Linked DNA regions of Rattus norvegicus. The protein of the gene in region 2 purifies or fractionates together with the protein of the main gene of each other region. This does not show direct contact. Links are inferred from orthologs where the notes say so. Each region holds a gene or a part of one and is shown on either strand. Other genes may lie near its edges.

Evidence for each region.
Region 1: the proteins of Igf1r (region 2) and Arrb1 purify together in Homo sapiens (affinity purification with western blotting; 3 studies listed by BioGRID and IntAct, with this or other methods). This does not show direct contact. The link is inferred for Rattus norvegicus from reciprocal best matches to the Homo sapiens genes IGF1R and ARRB1.

What each region holds. Positions count from the first base shown.
Region 1 is NC_086019.1:163,248,809-163,253,027, reverse strand, and holds the start of Arrb1 (beta-arrestin-1), read right to left. Parts: upstream 2,813-4,219; 5' UTR 2,781-2,812; coding exon 2,761-2,780; intron 1-2,760. UniProt on the Homo sapiens protein: Functions in regulating agonist-mediated G-protein coupled receptor (GPCR) signaling by mediating both receptor desensitization and resensitization processes.
Region 2 is NC_086019.1:131,193,997-131,197,508, reverse strand, and holds part of Igf1r (insulin-like growth factor 1 receptor isoform 1 precursor), read right to left. Parts: coding exon 3,314-3,512; intron 1,473-3,313; coding exon 1,346-1,472; intron 1-1,345. UniProt on the Homo sapiens protein: Receptor tyrosine kinase which mediates actions of insulin-like growth factor 1 (IGF1). Binds IGF1 with high affinity and IGF2 and insulin (INS) with a lower affinity. The activated IGF1R is involved in cell growth and survival control.

The sequences.
Region 1 (4,219 bases), about 32 Mb from region 2:
TCCTCTCGCAGGCCCCACCCCCAGGCTTCTCTTCCCACCTCCCGGTCCTTGTACATTCTGCACCCTGGGCTGGCAGGGCACTGGTTGCAGTTCCACTGCTCAGCCTCCTCAAGCTTCTAGGTCAATCTCAGCTGCTTTGACTACCCAGAACAGTTTCGGGTCACATCCAGCTCAGCTCTGGTGTGGATGCCTCTTCCACCTCCCAAAGTGATTGTGTCGTGTACCACCATCACCTGGGAATGGATAGTCTGGGGATTCAGCTCTGGGAACTCCTGCCCCAGGCTACAAAGAAGCCACTCTTTCATGACCTGTGCTCATTGGACCCCTGTTGGTGCTAGCTTGCTCTGCCCTGGGCCTCCTCTCAACCCAGGGGTTTCTGCAAGGGCAGTGACAGTTTTGATTAACGTTCATTATCACTTCCTCCAACCGACAGGAATAGATGTGATGACTCCAGAGCCTAAGAGTATTGAGTATTTGCAATGTCCCTTCCAGGTCTCAAAGCAAAATCTCATGGCCAATGTAACACAATGGAGAAAGCTTCTTACCTTTCATATCCAGACAGATCTAGAAAGAGAAAGGCAGAATTCATGGCTCTAGAGGGGCCCAGGGAGGGGAGGCAAACACGGACAGGTGGAGTTTGTGTAGCTAGTCTGTATTTCCTGGCATAGGCAACTCCTACTCCTATGTCCAGTGAGCTCAGTAAGCTTTTGGGAGCCATGAAAACCAAAGTTCTAATGGCTCCAATGTACAGATGGGAATACTGGGTCTGCCCTTGAGTTAGAAGCACAGCAGGGGAGTCAAGGACAAAGCTGTGGCCTCAGGATTCTCCAACAGGTGTCTGGCAGCCAGAGTGTCCTCCTCCTATGACAATTCAAGGTATCAGGAATCTGTGACACTTCTCCCCTAGTTACAGAGAGGCCCAGCATGGCTGAGTCACCCTGGTCACCAGCAGCACTGGAGAACAAAGGAGAAGTCAGTGGCTGCTGACTCCCTGCCGTGCCTCACAGGGAGCAAAGCTCAACCTTACAGTTCCAGAGAGTCTCAAAGCGGGGAGGGGGATGGGTGTGGCTGAAGAGAGATGCATCCAAGCATCTTTCCTCCAAGGACTGAAGCCTGGGTCACGATGCTGACCAGCCAGCTGCATTGGCCCTCAAGGTGAATGCAAACACCTCATGGCTGTCCGCAGTCTCCCAAAGCTGTGCCTCTGCACCAAGTGAGTCCCTTGCTAGTCTTTACACCCAGGGCCCCAAGGAGAGCCACAAGATACAGTGGGCTGTGGCCTCTGCCCCTTCCTGACCTTCAGCAAGGCAAGTGACCTTTCTCACCCTTCAGTTCCTCTTTGGGGAAACCAGAATAGGAAAATTAACCTCCAGGAAGGGCCATCAATAGGGAGGCTGGTGGGAGGTAGTTTCTAAACATGAGGAATCTGAGTTAGCACTATGCCTCAATTTCTACTCCTGGGAAATGGGAATAACCTCTGTAGCCCCTTTCACTCACTGCTGAAAGGCTCTGGGGTCAGTGGGCAAAAAACCAGTTTGTTTAAGGGCCCCAACATGTGACTGCAGGGATGCTTCCTTTCTGATCATCTCTCATCACCGAGGCTATGCCTAGTATACAACAGGGGCTTAATAAATAAATATCAGAGGAAAGGAAGTGAAGGCAGAGAGAAGAACACAAACATAAGAGTAATAAGGAAAGCAGTGATAAAAAGCAGGTGCAGGAAGACTAGAGGAGGGGCCAGGAAGGGCGGCAAGGAGACTCTCAAGGGCCAGGAAGGTAAACTCTAAGTTGACTAGGGCTGGTCTAGGTCATAAGGATTGACCCCAAGAGCTTCCCTGCCCCTCCCTAGCCTTCCTACTTTGACCTAGTTTCCATTTCGAGGGCCTAACCTTTCCTTTCAAGGCAGGATCTACAAAAACAGTTTCCCTCACCACCACCATCCCCAGCTAGATGTAGCCCCTAGCTATGTGCTTTGGAGGTCAGAGGGGAAGGAAAGCATGTGAATGGGACCTGCCTTCCAGGTCTCAAAGTCTCCCACTCTGACCTGTGTTTCTGGTCTGGCCATGGGGAGTCAGAAGTGAAGTGTATCCACTGCCCTAGAGATGTCAGGCCCTGCAGGCATTTTCTGCTGTGCATGTGCGTGATTGGCCTTGATGTGTCACTAAGACCTGTGGCTGCATCGTGTCATTTCAGAGAGGGTTGACAGACTGCAAGCACTAGCCAGACCGTGCTTTGCAGCATCCAGGTGACAGGATACGTATGTTGGTGTATGCCCAGATGTGCGTGGCAACACGAGGTGTGTTAGAGCTGGTGCGTGTTCCAGTGGGACCTGTGTATGCTAACAGTACTGACAGCAGGAATGTGTTGGCAGACTAGTGTGTGCGTGAGAGACCGCGTGTGACGTTGTCGTGTCACAAATGCGAAGTGTGGCAGCGACTGTCAGTGTGTGCCAGCAGAAGGGTGTTCATGTGTTTATGAGTGTGTGTGTCGTGTGTCAGCCTGCCCCAGAACGTCCTCGAGTCTACCGACCAGCCAGGGCTGGTTGTGTGAGCTCGTCTCGGCCAGGAGCCTTGAACCAAGTGGGGTGGCCCATCCTGGGTGCCTCCGTCCTTACACATGGTTCTGGCCAGAGACCACACAAGAGACTTGGGCGGACAACAGAGTGCCAGATCCCGGGTGACGCTGATTGGAACCTCCGCCCGTGCCCTCGCCCAGGTCGTCCCCACGCGCACGCGGGACAGGGCGGCCACCCGCACTCACCGTGTCCCTTTGTCGCCCATGGTCCGCGGCGGCCGCAGGGAGGTCCGCGGCGTCAGCGTCCAGGCTGGAAAATCCCCGGCCGCCAGGAGAAGCGCGGGCCAGCCCGCTCCCGGCTACCCCGCTCCGCCTCCTCCGCTGTCGCCGCCGCCGCCCCCGCCCGGGTCCCCGCCCGTCGCTCGAGCAGCACAGCGCCCCGGCCGCCGCCAGGGGCGTGGAGCGTGCGGGTGTGAGCGCGCGTGTGTGGCTCCGTGCGCCGCTCTGCGTGTGCGCGCCCAGAGAGTGAGGGCTGGGTGGCCGGCCGCGGCTGGTCCACGAGAGTGCGTGCACGCAAGCGCGTGCCAGTGCTGGTGCGTGTGCACGGCTGTGCGCGCGAGCCTGTCGGGAGAAGGGGGGAGGGGTAGAGAGAGAGATTGTGTGTGTGTGTATGTGTGTGTGTGTGTGTGTGTGCAGAGATAGCACGTCTTTGTGCAGTTGTGCGTGTGTGCTCACAATCGTGGGTGCAAGCGCGCTCTCCCGCGCAAGCCAGGACTGGCCTTTGTGTCTGCGGATAGATGCAAGCGGAAAATCCGCAGACTCCAAGGCCCAGCCTCAGCGGCGCCCCTGTGTGTGAACACAGCAAAAGATTCCAAAAGCCTAGCCAGGCCTTCGCCCTTTGCTCCACCCTCCCCGCCCCCGCCCTTCTGGAGAGATACCACCCAACGGCACAGCGGGGACAGGAAGAAGGGGTGGGGGCGGGCAGCGGACTGCAATGCTGGAGAGCAGATGAGAGTGGAAAGAGGAGGGGAGGGGCAGGCAGAAAGAGGAAGCTGTGAGAACAGAAGATAAAGCAGGGACCAAGAGCCAACTAGCTGGTGACCGGAGCATCCAGCATCATTGCTAGCACCCAGGCCTAGTTTACTTGCCTGCAATGACTCTAGACATCAGCCATCTCAGCCCATTCCAGATCTACTGGCTGGGTCCTAAGACCAGCAGATGCCCTGTTCTATAGGTGAAGGAATTCACTTGTTCTTGCCGGCAGGCACCTGCACACAGTGGTGTCCAGCAGAGCTTACTGTCTGCAGCTTTCTTGCTATCCTTGAAATCTTGACTTTCCCCAAGTTTCCTACCCCTGTGGAAGTAGCAGGTGTGCAGTGGGAGGGTGGAGTCCAGAGGCTAAGGAGGGGTAGGAAAGGGTTCTGGATTTTAATCCATTTTCTCCTGGAAGGGATCTTAAGGGGTTCCTTCTTGCTTTGCAGGAAGTGGGAGAATGTAAGGTCTTTCTCAGCCGCTTGCTGCTGGGGTTTGACTAATTGGCACTGATAGGTCCCTAATATCGGAGTATTAACGATAGGAAAGGAAGCTATCATTTACTCTGATGCAATTGCGGGTCTGGAAACATCTCCTGTAATTATGTTCAGAAGAGTTACCTATGCTGTTTACATAGAGTGTGCTGTTTATAGAGTTGGTAATAATATCCCAG
Region 2 (3,512 bases):
CACACTTTCTATAACGGGAATTCCGAATAAAACTCATCGTCAATTAGATTTCTATACAAGAATAAAGTCAAGCATCTGGACCCAGGAGCTCGGCAGCTATGAACCACAGAACCGAACTAGCAGCCTTAGAGACGGCAAGTTCCGTATTCACAGGGACGGAAACGCTGCTCCTAAGACACGCAGATGCCGATGTCCCTCTCAAGCATGGCTGTTTAATGCAAATATTAAACTGATAAGAGATAACTTTCGAACAAAACTAACTTTCCTACCCCCTCCGCCCCCAGAGTTCTACAATGTAAGTTGATAATAGCTATTTTTTGATGCTTCTAATAGCTATCTCATAATATTCAAATATTTTGCTTCCTGATTGTCTCAGAAAGTGGCACAGTGATACCATCAGTTAACACTGCAGCATGCTGGCAGCACTTCTGAAGGGAAGGGAGGGTTCTCCACAGAGGCACTGTGGGCAGGGTCTCTACCTTCACGAGATGGAAGGGCCGCTAGCCACTGGCTTCTGAAATTGTACTGACATGACCTGTGTTCAATCACGATGGGAGATGGGTGCCTTCCACTTACGCAAATGCTGAGAGATTGTGAGCTTTCTATTTCCCATGGGCTATAACAGTTCCCAGGACCCCAGGTCCAGCAGCAGCGAAGGCGCCAGGCACTGCCACTAGCACCTTTGCTTCTGGGAAGATGAGCACCTGGGAAAACGGATGACCACATAGACGGGAAACCACCCGGCCACAGGAGGCCTAGTGGGAGAATGAGATCGCTCAGAGAGCTCTAATGCTGAGCAGGCAAGGTGTTCCTATCAGTACAGGGAAACTCTTAGAAGATCCTGGGAAATGCTGACAGCTAGGCTAGCCCCTCTCTGTTCCTCTTTAATTCTAAAGGGCTCATGACCCAGAGCAAAGTCTTGGCAAGACCACATATGCATAAAGTGACTGGAAGACAATGGGTCAGTTCAGGGTAACCTCGGTGAGAACAGTATATCCCATGGGGCATTTTGGGGACAGAGGCTAAAACAATATTTTAACCAAGTCCACATATGGCTTATGATAGTTTGGATGGATCCAGTTCTCTTAAAATTCATCCTTTTTCCCCTTGAGGTGAACCTACTCAAATACCATCTAAACAATGGAAAGGCTGAAGTGTAAACTCTCCTGACTAGCTGTCTCAGGTTGGGACAGTTTAACGTGACAAGAGGACACGTGAGGATGAGGTGGTCACCTGGCCTGATTCTTCACAGGAACCCCAAAGATTCTCTACTCAGCCAAGGCATACAACCACCTGGCCATCCCCACCCTCTAGCTTGATGTCTGAGTGACAGGCCCAAACTCACGCCTCCTTGTAGTAGACTGTGAAACTGATGAGATCCCGGTAGTCCGGCGGCCGGTACCGGTGCCACGTTATGATGATGCGGTTCTTCCAGGTGGTGGTGGAGGTGAAACGGAGAACATCACTTTCACCTGGGGGCAGAGAGGTGCATCCGTGAGTGACAGAGACCCACCTGTCTGTGCACTAACACTTCTATCTTTCCCGAGGCTGGCTGTCCGTACTAAGCTCTGTCTGGATTTTGTAGGTAGCATTCTGATTTTTCCACCAGGAGTCCAAACATTTCACAGGGGATAGAACCTACAGGTTCATCTTTCACTCCAGGTCAGTTTGTCCCACTGGTCACCTGCCCAGGGGATGGGGCGTGAACCTGTAACTGTCTCTCACCCCGTGAGAAGGGCCTCTTTACGAACAAGGTGGCCTTGCCTTTCAGATCATTCATAGGATGCTGGAGGGTAAAGGGGACCTGGTTAAATGACTGCAAACCTGTAGGCTGTACTGAGAGAACAGCGAGTCCTGTAGGTATAGGCATCTGCTGGCTTCTGTGCAGCGACCACAGAGTATGCCTTACACAAGGCATGTGTAAGACCGCGAGTAAGCCACAAAACAGAGCTTCTCTTAGCTAGAACGGGGTGCCAAGCTAGAAGGATACAGGACCTCCTTGGAGTCTTCTAGCAGGAATGAGACTGGGTGGGCACTGACCTGGGCAGGCCGTGTGCTCTCTGGCACGTACACCCTGGCTGTGAGGTATGGTGAGGTGTGGGGACTGTCCTGATTTTAGCACTGCATTCTAGCTGGTAAGGTGGGAGAAATGACTGTCAATATCCCATCAAGTTGTGTTCAACCCCAAAACTGCCCGAACTGCTCTCACCAATGAGCTGAAGGCAAGAGACAGAGAACACCAAAACCCTGAGAAGTCAGCAAAATGTGCTTAACAGAGACCCCCAGAGCATGGCAGGTCCTGCTCAAGTGTCACCCAGAGAGAGAACCCTGACTGTGCTTCCAAAGGAAAATAAATGGCTGGTGCATTCATGACCTGGCAGGTCCCTAGCTGCCTCTAAGGGAGAAAAACTTCGAAATGTTTCAATTGCAGGCTTTTGCTATGGTCTTAATGGGGAACAGGCCAGGGGACTCTGCAGGAAGGTGAGGGTGCTGGTGAGGGTGCACATTCACACCTCTGCCTAACTACTCTTCTCAAAATGCCTCCTGGATCATGAGGGTATCAGATAAATCTGGATACTCAGAAGACAAGGCTAGCCCTCCCTCCGTATATATGCGTACATCTGACTAGATGTTGGTCACATGACTCCTTATTTTCCCCACTAGTGCCATAAAGACGGAGGGCCATATAGAGCTTTAGCATTTGTTTGCTTCCTTAAAACAGGGTCTTTTGATGTAGCCCAAACTGGCTTCAAACTCGCAATCCTCCTGCCTCAGCCTGTTAAGTGCTGAGATTATAGGAGTGTACCTGGCTCCATACAAGGCTAGAGAAAGACATTCCACGTCTGGGGCCACATTTGGAGAGGGCTGTGCTAACAGGTTGAACTCTCGTCTATGAGATATTAGGGTGAAAACTGTATTACCTAGATGGTATTATTACATTGTCTAAAATGTGAAAAGCATTCTGGATTCAAGGACTTGGGCTCACTTTGTTCTGGGGATGCAGGACAGAGCTGGCTTGTTCATGGGGCTGGAACAGACTAGCTCTTTAATAAATATTGTCTGCTCATATTGACAAGATATTTCACTGTGCACGCTCTAAGAACCTGCTTGAATGTTTAATATACTCAAACAGATCCTCTGGAAAAATGTATCAATACGGATATATCAGGCACCCACCCACAAACTGTGCAGACACACGCAGAGGCCAGGTACCAGCTGCAGTGCTTTGACAGTCCAAAGTGAAAGAGAGCCCGCCCATGAATGGCTGCCATCTTGACTGTGGCAGCCACAGTGATTTAACGCTGTCACTCACAGGAAGCTCGCTCTCCGTTGTTCCTGGTGTTTATGTCTCCTTTGCTCTGCCGTCCCTTTGTTCCTGTCACCTCCTCCATCCGGTAAATTTCAGAGACACACAGCTTGGGATTGAAAGCGAAGTACATTTTCCCTGACCTGACGGTCAGGTTCCGGTGGTTCCAGTCCCACAGCTGCTGCAAGTTCTGGTTGTCCAGGAC